Cricetulus griseus: one gene and its partners. The protein of the gene in region 1 binds, or shares a complex with, the protein of each later gene. Links are inferred from orthologs where the notes say so. Each region holds a gene or a part of one and is shown on either strand. Other genes may lie near its edges.

Region 1 (5,135 bases):
CCTTCCTTTGTAGCCTTTGATGGTCTTCAACGCCTTCCTGCTTCCATTTTTATAGTTGTGGGATTATGAGGATGAGTCACAATAGTGGGCTCAAATACAATTTTTCAGTTTATTTTTAGTTTGTGTGTGACTGTTTTGCCTGCATACATGTCTGTGTACCAAAGTGTGCCATATAAACCAGAAGGATCATTTGGGATCATCTGGAAGTGGAGTTGCCATTGGTTCTGAGCTCCCATGTGTGTGCTGGGAGTCAAACCTAGACACTCTGGAAGAGCAGCCATGCTCTTAAGTACTGAGTCCTCTCCCTCTCCAGCCCTAATACAGGTTTTGCATTTAATTCATTAATTATGCTTTCCTAGTGTCATGAAACTGTCTCCACCATCGGTTTGTCTTTTTCTTCCTTTTTTTTTTGTTTGTTTTTCGAGACAGGGTTTCTCTGTGGCTTTGGAGGCGGTCCTGGAACTAGCTCTTGTAGACCAGGCTGGTCTGGAACTCACAGAGATCCACCTGCCTCTGCCTCCTGAGTGCTGGGATTAAAGGTGTGCACCACCACGGCCCCGCTCCAGTGTATTTTTAAAGTTTTTTCTTGTTTGGGTTTATGGGTGCTTTTCATGCATGCATGCATGTATGTATGTATGTATACCATGTGCATGTCTGGTATCCTCAGGCCAGGAGGCTGGATTTAGACATTTCTGAGCTGTCATGCAGATGCTGATAAGAGCACCTAGTCTTAACTGCTGTAGGCCTGGCTATGGTGACGCACGCCTTTAATCCTAGCACTCCGAAGGCAGAGGCAGGTAGATCTCTGTGAGTTCTAGGATAGCCAATGCTACACAAACCTTGTCTTGAAAAGAGAATAAATTAAGAAAATATGCACATGTGTGGTTTTTATGATTCTTTGCAGTGGAGAATGTGCTTCACACACCTAAAATTTGGTGCAGTGCTGTTACTTAATAGGTAGTGGGAAGTAAGGTAGCTTTCTCCCAGCTGTAGCAGGTTTGAATCCCTGTCTTTTTCTTGCAGTATGTTCATGCAGATGCTCCTACCAATAAAGCACTGGCTGGACTGGTGGTACAGCTTCTTCAGTTCCAAGAAGATGCCTTTGGGAAGCATGTCACCAACCCAGCTTTCACCAAACTACCTGTAAGTACATGAGTACAAGTTACATAGGATCTTTAGCCCCTCTCCTCTCTGTATAATAGCCCTGCCTCTGCCTCCGAGGTTCTGGGATTAAACATGTGCACCATCACTGCCTGGCTCAGCTTCTGTACTTTGAAGTGTCAACCTATGTCTGATTCCCTTGCTGTTGAAATTAGGGTGGGGTGGGGTGGACACAACTGTACAGAGAAGTATTTTGTTTAGTTTGTTTTTGAGACAGGCTGTCACATAGCCTGGGGTTGACCTGGAACTGCCTATGAATTAGAGGCGAGCTGTGAACACCTGATCCATGAGCTGGGATTATAGGCATGTGCTTATCATTCTCAGCTTGGTGGTAGAATTCTTGCCTACTATGTCTTTTAATGCTTTAGACTCTGCACCAATCATGAGGATCTAATATTTCTGTGTTAGGGTTGCCAGAGTTTCTGCTGTGCTGTGCATACTGATACTTATCTGTTAGAATCTTGTGGCAAGAGTACTTTTGTAGGGCTGGAGAGATGGCTCACAGGTTAAGAGCACTGACTGCTCTTCCAGAGGTCCTGGGTTCCTGGGTTCAGTTCCCAGCAACCACATGGTGGCTCACACCATCTGTAATGAGATCTGGTGCCTTCTGGCCTGCAGGGATACATGCAGACAGAACACTGTACATAATAAGTAAGTATTTAGAAGAAAATCTTCCTAGCCACAGAGAAACCCTGTCTTGAAGAGTACTTTTGTATTTGTTTTGGTTTTAATTTATGTGCATTGGCGTGACAGTGTTATATCCCCCTGGAAGTGGAGTCACAGACATTTGTGAGCTGCCAAGGAATTAAACTGGAGTCCTCTGGAAGAGCAGCCGGTGCTCTTAATCTCTCTAGCTCCTTATTGTTTTGCTTTTAATTAAAAAATTTAAATAGCTGGACAGTGGTGGTGCAGGTCTTTAATCAAAGCATTCAGTAGGCAAAGGCAGATCACTGATCTACAGTGCCAGCCTGATCTACAGAGTAAGTTCCAGGACAGCCAAGGCTACATAGAGAAAGAAATCTTGTCTCAAAAAGAAAAATTAATTTATTGACTTAGCGTGTGACTATGTGTGTGTGGGCATGTGCCTGCCATAGCAAGCATGTGAAGGTCAGGACTTCTTTCAGAAGTTGGTTCTTCCACCATGTCGGTCACAGGGACCAAACTCAAGTCATCAGTATTGAGAGCAAGTACCTTGACCTGCCCTGCCACCCTCTCTTTCACACAAAATAAGTGAGTATATGTATAAAAAAAGAAAATAATTACCCAGATGCCTGTCCTCAGCAGTCAGCTACCCGAGGTACTGTAATGGAGAAGCAGAGTAAAAGCACACTTGTGTGGAATTGAAGACCTTTTTTCTTTGTGGTTTTCCAACCTAGGGCTTTGTGCATACTAGGAAAGTTCTGTAACAGTTTTGTTTGACTGACTAAAGGTCAGTGTAGTTTTATACTTTAAAATTATATCAAGGCACAGTGAAGCAGCTGAGCAGATGAAAGGACTTGGCACCATGCTTAACAATCTGAGTTCTGTCTCTGGAACCTACATGGTGGAAGGAAAAACAGACTCCTTCACATTGTCTTCTCATTCATGTACATGTTTGCATTTGTGGCGCTAGCACACCCTACCCACACACAAAATAAAATTATGCAGATATTTTTGTTTTGTTTTTGTTTTTTCAGACAGGGTCTCTCTACATAACTTGACTGTCCTGGAACTCACTATGTAGACCCTAATGTCCTTAAACTCTGAGAGATTAACCTGCCTCTGCCTCCTGACTACTAGTATTAAAGGTGTGCACCGTCACTTTTGGCTAATAAATGGAAATTTAATAAGTTTCTTTTTTTTTTTTTTTTTTTTTTTTTTTTTTTTGAGATAAGGTCTTTGTATATTCCAGCCTGTCCTGGAACTCACTGGGTAGACCAGATTGGCCTTGAACTCAGATCCTACATCTGTCTCTAGTGCTGGATTTAAAATCCTGCTAGTTCTAGGACAGCCTCCAAAGCCACAGAGAAAACCTGTCTTGAAAAACAAAAAAATTCACATTCTTTTGTTATTCCTAATTATGAACGTAAGTGTTATCATCCAAAATGATATTATAAGGGACTTTATACATGGGATATTAACTCCTGGGAACCAAACCATTATTTCCTAAAAGCGTTTAGGGACTGGAGAATATTTTTAGTTATAAATCATAATTAAAAATAATTCATGGCTTAGTGCCAGTAGGACCCAGATGTATTTCTTTTCCTCTGAAAATAGAATGCAGCATTTTCTCAAATGAAAGAGATGGTTGTGAGGTTTGTAAATGAGAAAGACTTACCAAAGCAAATACATTTTTGTTGTAGTTTTGGTTTTTTTTTTTTTTTTTTTCCTTCGAGGTAGTGTTTTTCTGTGAACCATGAGATGGAGGAAGGAAGATTAAAGTTTAAATTCAATCTCAGCTACATTGCTTATTTGAGGTCAGTATGGGCTATGTGAGGCCCTGATTTAAAAAAAAATAAAAGTAGCCAGGTGCTGGAGGTGCACACCTTTTAATCCAGTTACTTGTGGTAGAGATTTCTGAGTTTGAGGCCAGGCGGCCACAGAATGAGTACCAGAACAGCTAGGGCTACACAGAAACCCTGTCTTGAAAAATACACTCAAAAAAAGTAAAAAGTAGTTCTGGGAGTCAGACCTGGTGGTTGAGGCATAGAATTGGGTTATTGAGGAGGCTGGGTAAAAGTTCAGGGTTGCCTGGGCTACAGAGTGAGTTTAAGGTTACCTGAGAACCTGAGTTAAAAAGGAGGCCTGGATGTGTAGTTCACCAGGAAGAGCGTTTATTTTAGCATGTAAGAGTCCCTGAGTTAAGTTTCAAGTATAACATGGTCTTATTGGAACCTTTATTTTTTCTTGTGCTATTTGTCACTTTTAGGCAAAATGTTTTATGGATTTCAAAGCTGGAGGCACCTTGTGTCACATTCTTGGGGCTGCTTACAAGTACAAAAATGAGCAGGGGTGGTAAGTATTAATAAGTGTGACATCATATTTTCTGTATGTAGAGAATTCTGTAAGAATATTGCGGTTAATGGTAAGGTAAGGCCTGTGTTTTAAATCAGTGTTATGTTTTCTGCCAGGTGTGGTGGTGTCTACACTTTTCATCCTAGCACTTGGGGCAGAGCCAGGCAGATCTCTGAGTCTCTAACCTAACCTCATACAAAACAAAGCAATGAGTTTCCTTTGATTTTTTTCTTACACTCAAAAATTACAACTGTTCTTATTAGGTAAATAATATATTTAGTTTTTGTGGTACTGGGAATTGAATCGAGGGCCTTGTTCATGCTACAAATGTGCTCCTTCAGTATATCCCTAACTACACACAGGGATCCACCTGCCTCTGTCTTCCTAATGCTCGGATTAAAGTCCTGTACCACCACTGCCCTGATAAAGGTTATTTATTATGTATACAATGTTCTGCCTGCATGTATGTTGGTTGTGAGCCACTGTGTGGTTGCTTGGGATTGAACTCAGAAGAGCGTCCAGTGCTGCTCCCTGGCTGGTCTCGAACTCACAGAGATCTGCCTGTCTCTGCCTCCCGAGTGCTGGGATTAAAGGCGTTTGCCACTAACGCCTGGTCCCTCCCTGCCTTTGAGCCATCTCTCCCGCCCTGGTGATGGCTTTTAAAGTTTATAGTTTATCATTATTGTAGAAGTTCCTTACTTCTATTTTTGATCTCCCCACTCGCCTTATAAAGATGGACTATAGAATTCTTTTCATGCGCTACTTTTAGGGTAACTGATTCATGAGATAAGGAATGTTATCCAGGAGGACGCTTCATTGACCCCTCCTGCATTTAATTTTCAAGTGCTCAAGATGCATATATGACCATGTTTTGGGATTTGCTGGTACACCTTTAGAATATAATTTAACATAGCTTAGTGATAAAAAAATTAAGATTTTTATTTTTTATGTGTATGTGTTTATTTTTAGGTTATGTATAT
Region 2 (5,135 bases), on another chromosome or scaffold:
GCAGGTATGGGGGGTGAGCCATAGGCTCTGCTGAGGTCGCAGTTGAAAGAGATGGAGCAAGGGACAGCAGGAGTAGCAAAGTCAAAAGGTCTCGATGGCTGTGGGTGGTGTGAGCCAGTAGCCTATGGCCCTGCATACTCCTGTATCTGTGGGGCTCTTTTTCTATGACAGCAGCCTGGTCACCCGCAGCTCTACTAAAGGGAAAGTCAGCATTTCCACTTGCCAGCATCCAGACTTTCTCCTGGGGGAGCCGCAGATTAGCCTCCTGGATTAAGCTCGGCTGCCTCCCTCCCTCCCTCCCTCGATCTGGAAGCCTGGCTGGGGGAGGACCATGGAGCAAAGCCCTCAGGATACTGCTGAGCTGTCACATCCAGTTCACCACGCAGCCCCGGTGGCATTTAGGGGCAGTGTGGATGGGAGCCCACTCCAAACCCCAAACAGAGAGAGCAGCTAATGACTGGGTATTAATGATGCCAGCAATTAGTGCTCACAGGAAAGTGGCGGGGGCCTGCTCACCAGGGGCACATGGGAGGAAACAGAGCGCACATTCTCGCACATTCGGAGCAGCAAGCAAATCGGTAGTGTGTATGACCCACAGAAGCCAGAGTGAGCAGCTGCCACTGGGTTTGTCCAGAGAAACCGGGGCTGGGGGAAAGTGACTTCTCCAAACACCAGGAGCTTGTCTGCTGTACCCACTTCCCTGTGGGTGAAATTAGGGCTGGGCACAGAGTTTGCAGAAACAAACTTGTGAGAAGACACCACAAAAAAAAAAATAAAATAAAATAAGGAGTGTTTTTGAGGATTCTGGAACTGTCTTTGTCTGAGGAGGACCTGGATTAGCCCACATATGGCTATTCCTTTCTGGTCAGTCAAATGATGCTTGGTGAAGAAGCCTGTATCTATCTCATCAGCAGGGTGAAAAAGAAAGGAAGACAGGGAGGAGCTGGAGTATGTTGCTCACCCACAAGCCCACAGGTGATAGAGACAAGCATGGGACATATCTCCATGTATAAAAAGGAAAGGCACAGTTTCTTTACTAAGCAAGCCCATGTGATCTCTCAGGGACAACACCTAAGGAGAACACAGATACCCACTGATAATTTCACATTTGAGATCCTGGTAAAAAGAGCAAAGAATATAACAGTGCCGGTCACGGAAGTCTACTTGGAGGTGACTACAGGAATGGCTGGGGAGGAGACTGTCTCCTTCTGCTTACTGTTGTTGCCAAGACTTTGCACATGTACACACATATATACACATGTGTGCAAAACCACCACTCACTATGGACACTACAGGGGAGGTGGGGAAAACACAGCACAAAGGAAAAGCCATCAAAGCACTATAAAACAGGATGCTGGTACACAGGAACAAATGGCCAAGCACTGAGGAAATGCAAGAGATAGGCTAGCACTGGAGGAGCGAGAAAGAAAGCTGACACTTTGGAGAGAGAACAAATCACTAATCTGTGCTTTCCAAATAACACCTAAAACCAAAGATCACTTCCAGCCACTTCTTGATAGGAGGCCACAGCTCCTGTGACTTCCTAGACACTTAGACCAGAGAAGAAAAGAGAAAGGGAATTGGCATTGCCAGCTGCCTCAATACAGACAGGCTTCTACACTGACAGAAAAGGCAGGCTCTCCCAAAGGGCAGGCAGAGAGCTGGGTGTCATAGATAATCAGGATCTGGTGCAGAAAGAGTGACACTACCCTCCTCCTCCAGCTCTGCTTCCCAGATTCTGCCCAGATGGCAATAGGAGGTGAGAAAACGGGGGTCTGTCACATTAAAAGCTTGAACCCTCAAAGTTGGAAACAAATTAATGTCACAGGATGCATTTTCCCCAAATCCAAATTCCTATATTGAAGCTTAACCTCTAGTACATTGGCATTTGGTTCTATTCAAGCTAGAGATTGATAAAGAAGTAATCAAAGTGCTGGAGAGACAGACGGCTCAGTGGTTATGGGAGTGCACTGTTCTTGCTCAGTTTTCAGAGCTTACATAGGATGGCTCACAACCACCTGTAAATCCAGCAATGATCTTGTGCCCTCTTCTGGCCTCCACAGGCACTGCACTCATGTACACATACACACGGACACACATACACACGTGATTTAAAGTGAAAATAAATCCTAAGAAGAAGTGGAGGAGAAAAAGTAAATGAAGAGGTAAAGTTTGTTAAGTGAGGCCACTGGAGCTGGGGAGACAGCTCAGCTGGTAAAGTGGTTGTCATGAAAACATAAGGACCTGAGTTTAGATGCCCCCACCCCACCCCCTGGCAACACCCATGCACAAAGATGGAAATAGTTGCATGTGCCTATAATTCCAGAGCTGCTGAGGCAGAGACAAGCGACCTCTGGAGGTCTCCACAGCCAGTCTTGCCAAATCAGTGAATTCCATGTTCAGTGAGAGACGTGGTCTCAAAAACTAAGGTGAAAACCAACTGAGTACATGCAAGTGTGACAGACAGACAGACAGACAGACACACACACACACACACACACACACACACACACACACACACACACACACAATGCAGCTATTAGGGTGGGTCTTGATCCTGTCTGCCTGGTGACCTTATAAGAAGAGACCCCAAGAGAAGAGGGCAGAGCTGCCAGAGGACAGCCATTTGCAAGGCCAGGACAGGGCTATCCGGAAGCCAACACTGATAGAGCCTTGACCTGGGCTTCTCCAGCCTCCAGAGCCATGAGAAACTAGTTGCTGTAGTTTAAGACTCCTGACCTAAGGTATTTTGTTGTGCCAGCCACAGAACACTGTGGCAGCATGACCATGGGGCACAGGCCAGGGAGGACCACACACAAAACTTAACAAAGATCTTAGCCAGGGCTTGTTCTCATGGTTTCAGATATTTGATGAAAGTGTCCACCTGGCATCAGTCACACAAGCTGAGATACTCAACTACACAGGTGTCATCTCTAAATTTAGAATCTGGTCACTTTTAAAAGTCAGATTCTTGTTCGCTTTAAGAATGTATCCCAGGGCTAGAAAATTAGTTCAGTAGTTGAGAGCACTTATCATGCTTCCAGAGGACCCAGGTTCAATTCCCAGCACTCTCATGGGGGCTAACAAACATCTGGCCCTTCAGTCCCAGGGACCCAACACAGCCTTCTGACTTCAGCAGGTTCCACATGCACATGCATGTAGAGAACATACATACATGCAGACAAAAGCTCATATACATGAAATAATACACTAAGTCTAAGTGAAAAAAAGTTTTTAAAAATACATACCAACCAATTGTATAAACAAAACAAAGCCCACAACAAACATGCACAAATACCCCTCCCTCCAGTGGTCTCAGTATGACCCAGATCTTGAAGCAAGCTCAACAGATTCCATGACCACATCCTTTTTGGGGGGCTTTGGTCATCCCAGAAACCACAATGGTTAGGAGAAAGCCAGTCAAGCGGAGAATGCCTAGCCCCCTTTTGATTCCTAAGACATAACTACAAACTGAGGAAAGGGAGGAAGAATAGAAACAAATCTGCAGGATCACTTTGAGTCTTCAGAGCCAACTGTCATCCCAAGTGATGTATCCATCCAGATGGCAAGAGAGCTCCGTACCCAAAGTAGTGACCCACACAGGAAAATCAGAGCAATTAACCAGCAAATATCAGTCACTCCAACAGCTGCGAGTGGCTCTTCTGCAGCCAAGGGACATGATGGACAGGTCTGGCATGTGACAGTGGCCAGGTGAGGACACTCCCCTTTACACCCCACATCCATCTGGAGATAAGGCTGATCACATGTGTTCTGACCTGCTTACACTTTGCTGATTGCTCAGCTCAGACATAGGTATGGTGGCTGGCTAAGTTTAGGAATCAATTTACTGCAGAACACCAAGCCCCATCAGTTGTTACTGCCAGAAGATACCAGAGTGGAAAGAAAAAGGTTGTTCCCCATGCTACCTGCTCCATCCCTGACTCCCCAACATTACAAGTGGGGACTCACGTCTGTGGTTCTCATTTCTGTGGTTGGGCGGGGACCGAGTGTCCTGGTCTTGGGCTTCATCTCCCTCCTCGCTGGCCAGATGAGTGTGAGCATAGTGGTAGCTGAGTCCCGGCCGGTTCTTGTAGCGTTTGCCACAGACTAGAGAGAAAAAGAGAAGAAAAGATGGACAATGTGAGCAACGTTTTGTGGTCACTCTCTCACTCTTTGGGGCAACAGTCCCCAGCTGTCCACACCAGAGCCAGGTTTCCCCTTAAAGGTACCTCCCACCCTCAAACCCACACTACTGTAACCATGTGGCTTGTGTACTCAAAAGAGGTACAAGAGCACAGACATCGAGGGTTGAGTAAGCTCTACTATTCTGCCTGCGAGACCCCGGGCAAGTCAGTGAACTACTGGGTGTCTCCATTGCTTTAGAGATAAAAATGGGAATGATAGCAGTACTAACTCATTAGTGACACACAGCACAGAGTACTTAGGCAAGCACTGTTTGTGTGCTTGTTACGGCTCAAGGTATGCTAGGCAAGCACTTCATCACTGAGCCACACTCCCAGCCTTAACAAGGCACTTCAAATTTACTGAGCACAGAAGGGGGATTATCAGCATAACTTTGCAACTATCACTGGAAGCCTATCCAGTCCAACGTCTTCAGTCACCAATGAGGTAAATGAGGCCCTAAGCGACATACATGGAACACATCAGTGGAAGAGCCGCCAAAACCCAGGTCTCCTGGATTCCTCTGCAGTGCCCCATCTACTGTTCTGCAGCTGACTCTGCATAAAGTAGCAAATTTTCCATGTATCAGCCCATGATTTATACCAGCAAAATGTGCTCTACTCTCACCACAAACACAATGAGACTGAGGAATCCTGGTGGCTATAGTAGCCAAGAGCTTGTGACCTCAATGCTCCAATTAGCCTCTGGCACCCTAGACCTGTCTCAAATAAGACAGCTTGAGACAAGAGGCAACTAGCAACACTAATATGTCATCTTAGAGGCAAGAATATAGGGGGTGACTCCGCACACTGGATGCTCAGGGTATAGAGAGCAAAAGGCAGGCAAAGTGACCTCCGGCCAGACCACCAGCCATGCCTCCCCACACTCAACCCAGACCCCAGGCTTTGAGGGATGGGGTTGCCAAGAACAGAGACTTCAGGACCCCAAATGTT
Region 3 (5,135 bases), on another chromosome or scaffold:
TGCATTTGACCAAATATGAGACCTTTGTGCTTTGCTAAATTCATAAACATACATGTTTTTAAAAACTGGTTATATATAAATTGCTTAAAACTCAACATTGTTAATAAGCAATGGTTCTTTAATTAGAGAATTAATCTTGTACATATCTATCTTTCCTCTTTTGCAGACTATGACATTGTGACTCATTGGTCAATGCATTAGTAGCAATGGCAATGCTCTGAGCATTGCTGGGGGCAGTGCTGTACTTTTGTCCTGTTTTTCATAATTAGTGTGTGTTATTTTACAGAACAGTTTTTCCAAATCATACAGTGAAGAGAGTGGAGGATTCCAATAGCAGTGGGCAGGCACATATTCATGTCATAGGAGTGAAACGGAGGGCTATACCACTCCCCATCCAGATGTACTATCAGCAACAGCCAGTTTCCACTCCTGTTGTCCGCGTTGATTCTGTTGCTGATGTGTCTCCAACACCTTCACCTGCAGGTATTAACTTTCAATTTTAATATTCATTTATTATATATGCAGTCAGGTCTTGCTGTACAAACCATGCTGGCCTCAAACTTGGGGTCCTTCTGAAAGCTGGGATTACAGACAAATGGCAGTATCCCCAAGTTTTTCAATGTTTTAAGGATTGCTAGAATGTAAATGTGTATTTTGTATATTAAGTGATGGCCTTGCCCTGTGCTGTTTACAGTGTTTCTCATGGGTGTCACCATACTCTAATGTTTCCTGTCTTTTGGGCATTAATTTCTTTACACCCTTCCTCTTGTATTAAATTAGATAATAAGACATTTGACATCTTACAGTCATTTTACTTGTAACTTTTATTTTTCCCCATATATATAGGAATCCCTCATGGATCACAAGCTGTAGGAAATCATTTTCAGAGGACTCCTGTTACCAATCAATCTTCAAATTTGACTGCAACACAAATGTCTTTTCCAGTACAAGGTGTTCATACTGTGGCACAGACTGTTTCTAGAATTCCACCAAATCCTTCAGTTCATACCCACCAGCAACAAAATGCTCCAGTGACTGTCATTCAGAATAAAGCCCCAATTCCTTGTGAAGTCGTTAAAGCAACAGTAATCCAGAATTCTCTGCCCCAGACAGCAGTTCCTGTGAGTGTTGCTCTTGGAGGAGGACCTGCACAGACTTCTGTGGTTCAGAATCATAGTACAGGGCCACAACCTGTTACAGTTGTGAATTCTCAGACATTGCTTCACCATCCATCTGTGATGCCACAACCATCTCCATTACACACAGTGGTACCGGGACAGATACCTTCAGGCACTCCTGTTACAGTAATTCAGCAAACTGTACCACAGAGTCATATATTTGGAAGAGTACAGAACATACCAGCATGTACATCTACAGTTTCACAGGGTCAACAGTTAATCACCACATCACCACAACCTATGCACACTTCATCTCAACAGACAGCAGCTGGTAGCCAGCCACAAGACGCTGTTATCATAGCACCCCCACAGTATGTAACAACTTCTGCATCCAATATTGTGTCAGCAACTTCAGTACAGAATTTCCAGGTAGCTACAGGACAGGTGGTCACCATAGCTGGTGTTCCAAGTCCACAGCCCTCCAGGGTTGGATTCCAGAACATTGCACCCAAACCACTTCCTTCTCAGCAAGTTTCATCAACAGTGGTACAGCAGCCTATTCAACAACCACAGCAGCCAACCCAGCAAAGTGTAGTGATTGTAAGCCAGCCAGCTCAGCAAGGTCAAACTTACGCACCAGCCATTCATCAAATTGTTCTTGCTAATCCGGCAGCTCTTCCAGCTGGTCAGACAGTTCAGCTAACTGGACAACCAAACATAACTCCATCTTCTTCACCATCACCTGTCCCAGCTACTAATAACCAAGTACCTACTGCCATGTCATCTTCTTCCACCATGCAATCGCAGGGACCACCTCCTACTGTCAGTCAAATGCTATCTGTGAAAAGGCAGCAACAGCAGCAGCATTCACCAGCACCTCCCACACAGCAGGTACAGGTACAAGTTCAACAGCCACAGCAAGTACAGATGCAAGTTCAGCCTCAGCAAACAAATGCAGGGGTTGCTCAGCCTGCTTCCAATGAGTCTAGTTTGATCAAACAGCTGCTGCTTCCAAAGCGGGGTCCTTCAACCCCAGGGGGTAAGCTTATCCTCCCAGCACCACAGATTCCTCCCCCTAACAATGCACGAGCTCCTAGCCCTCAGGTGGTATATCAGGTGGCCAATAACCAAGCTGCTGGTTTTGGAGTGCAGGGGCAAACTCCAGCTCAGCAACTATTGGTTGGACAGCAAAATGTTCAGTTGGTCCAAAGTGCTATGCCACCAACAGGGGGAGTGCAAACCGTGCCCATTTCGAACTTACAAATATTGCCGGGTCCACTGATCTCAAATAGCCCAGCAACCATTTTCCAAGGGACTTCTGGCAACCAGGTAACCATAACAGTTGTGCCAAATACCAGTTTTGCAACTGCGACTGTGAGTCAGGGAAATGCAGCTCAGCTCATTGCTCCAGCAGGAATTAGCATGAGTGGAGCACAGGCAGGAGCCGGACTTCAGGTGCAAACGCTTCCAGCCGGACAATCACCATGTACCACTGCTACCCCCCCATTCAAAGGCGACAAGATAATTTGCCAAAAGGAGGAGGAAGCAAAGGAAGCAACAGGTTTACATGTTCATGAACGGAAAATTGAAGTCATGGAGAATCCATCCTGCCGACGAGGAACCATAAACACCAGCAATGGGGATACAAGTGAAAGTGAAATACAGGTGGGAAGTCTTTTAAATGGGAGAAAGTACAGTGACTCGAGTCTACCTCCTTCAAACTCAGGGAAAATTCAAAGTGAGACTATTCAGTGCTCACTAATCAGTAATGGGCCATCCTTGGAATTAGGTGAGAATGGAGCATCTGGAAAACAGAACTCAGAACAAATGGACATGCAGGATATCAAAAGTGATTTGAAAAAAACCCTCGTTAATGGGATCTGTGATTTTGATAAAGGAGATGGTTCTCATTTAAGCAAAAACATTCCAAATCACAAAACTTCTAATCATGTAGGAAATGGTGAGATATCTCCAGTAGAACCACAAGGGACTTCAGATGCTACTCAGCAAGATCCTGCCAAAGGTGATGAACTAGAAAGAGTTTCTAATGGACCTGTATTAACTTTGGGTGGGTCACCGTCCACAAGCAGCATGCAGGAAGCTTCAAGTGTGGTAACACAACAATTCAGTGGTACTGACTTGTCTAACGGACCTCTAGCTTCAAGTTTGAATTCAGATGTGCCTCAGCAACGCCCAAGTGTAGTTGTTTCACCACATTCTACAACCCCTGTTATACAGGGGCATCAAATCCTAGCAGTTCCCCACTCAGGATCTAGAGTGTCCCATTCTGCCCTATCAACTGATGTTCGGTCTACAAATGGCACAGCTGAATGCAAAACTGTAAAGAGGCCAGCAGAGGATAATGATAGGGAAGCAGTCCCAGGAATTCCAAATAAAGTAGGAGTTAGAATTGTTACAATCAGTGACCCCAACAATGCTGGCTGCAGTGCAACAATGGTTGCTGTACCAGCAGGAGCGGATCCAAGCACTGTAGCTAAAGTAGCAATAGAAAGTGCTGTTCAGCAAAAGCAGCAGCATCCACCAACCTACATACAGAGTGTGGTCCCACAGGTGAGTCCTTTTGTCTTGTTTGTTTCATTGAAATGCTGTCTGGAAACATTAAATGAATCATGTCTCAACTTAAGCAGTTATGGTGTCCGCTCATGTCTACGCAAACTTCCCTGTTGTGCTCTTTATTTATTAAACAGTTTTCAGTTCTTCACTCTAGCATTCAAGGTAAGGATTTTTTTTTTTTTTCAGTTTTGTATATGCAGTTTCACCTTGCATGGTAGATGCTATTATCTATGTACCTGACAGGAATGCCCACTGAGTGTTAGAAAATTCTAAGTCCCAACTCCACATGTTGGGATTTTTCACTTACATAATGTAATGTTTAATTTTTTAAAGTTTTACTATATATGAACTTCTCAATTCATTTTGATTATATATGTCTGATTGATTTTTCCTCTTGGAGTCTGTAAGAACTCTAAATAAAATGATAGTTAATCAGACTAAATTACAGAATAACTCTAATGTTAATAAAATTTACCCTCATTTTGTGTGTTTTAATCTTCCATTATGATGATCATTACACTATTCAAAAAGGTTAGCTCAGTAACCAAGAAGAACAGTGGAGTTAGCTGGTGTTAGGACCTCACCAAGGACAATACACTAAAGCAGAACAGTGACATTAGCTAGTGTTAGGACCTCACTAAGGATGATACACTAAAGCATTTTCTCATGGATCTTGAGGAATCCTATTAACATATAATCTGTTAACACTATGGTGAAGGTGAAGACTCACCCAGGATCATTGCCCCAAGAGGTGGTACCAGGATTGAAGCCAGCTCTTAATTCATGAGCTTTGCTCTCCTGCTCGAAATATTTTCTCTCTACAACTCTAGAAAATTGTCTTTTCTCTTACATTTTAATTATTTGAACTATTGTGTATGTTAGTGTTATTAAATGATCAGTTTAGGGCACAAATAGTAAAACTCTAAGCATATTAGTTTATACAGATGGCTCAGGCCATTAAAATCATGCATTTTATTGCTGATCTGAAAAATTGTGTACTGAAGTACTAATTTGTTATGAGAACACAGTCCATTAAAAAGAAACAAACAAACAAAAAACCATGTTCTGAGCTGAGAGCATAACTGAGTTGTAGAGTGGCTTGTTTTGCCTAAGTTCCTAGGTTTGATTCTTAGTGTGCACAGTCCCAAAACTACATCCCTTATCTCCAAGATTGATAATTGTCTGCAAGGAAAAGTAAAGTATGCATGAGGGCTATGAAAATGAAAAACAAAAGTAGGATTCCTTTGTGTGGTTTTTAGCATAGTGCCTGCTGCCAGTAGGCACTCCATAGTGGTTCAGGCCTGCTTCAGCTCCACATAAACGATGAAGTCCAGTGGTGAAGATCATTGGCGGACCATCTTAAGAGCCTGCTTACTCGTGAAGAACCATTCCCACATTGCCCAGATTCTTTAATCTCCTTTTCCATTCTCCAGGTTTCATTTT

What was found.
Region 2: Smarcc1 (region 1) and Dpf3 share a complex: the UniProt entries of both Homo sapiens proteins name them as parts of the BAF complex. The link is inferred for Cricetulus griseus from reciprocal best matches to the Homo sapiens genes SMARCC1 and DPF3.
Region 3: Smarcc1 (region 1) and Arid2 share a complex: the UniProt entries of both Homo sapiens proteins name them as parts of the SWI/SNF-B (PBAF) chromatin remodeling complex. The link is inferred for Cricetulus griseus from reciprocal best matches to the Homo sapiens genes SMARCC1 and ARID2.

Annotation. Positions count from the first base shown.
Region 1 is NC_048597.1:217,597,128-217,602,262, forward strand, and holds part of Smarcc1 (SWI/SNF complex subunit SMARCC1), read left to right. Parts: intron 1-1,023; coding exon 1,024-1,143; intron 1,144-4,069; coding exon 4,070-4,155; intron 4,156-5,135. UniProt on the Homo sapiens protein: Involved in transcriptional activation and repression of select genes by chromatin remodeling (alteration of DNA-nucleosome topology).
Region 2 is NC_048598.1:120,431,826-120,436,960, reverse strand, and holds part of Dpf3 (zinc finger protein DPF3), read right to left. Parts: intron 4,108-5,135; coding exon 3,970-4,107; intron 1-3,969. UniProt on the Homo sapiens protein: Belongs to the neuron-specific chromatin remodeling complex (nBAF complex).
Region 3 is NC_048595.1:392,800,518-392,805,652, forward strand, and holds part of Arid2 (AT-rich interactive domain-containing protein 2), read left to right. Parts: intron 1-286; coding exon 287-483; intron 484-846; coding exon 847-3,689; intron 3,690-5,135. UniProt on the Homo sapiens protein: Involved in transcriptional activation and repression of select genes by chromatin remodeling (alteration of DNA-nucleosome topology). Required for the stability of the SWI/SNF chromatin remodeling complex SWI/SNF-B (PBAF).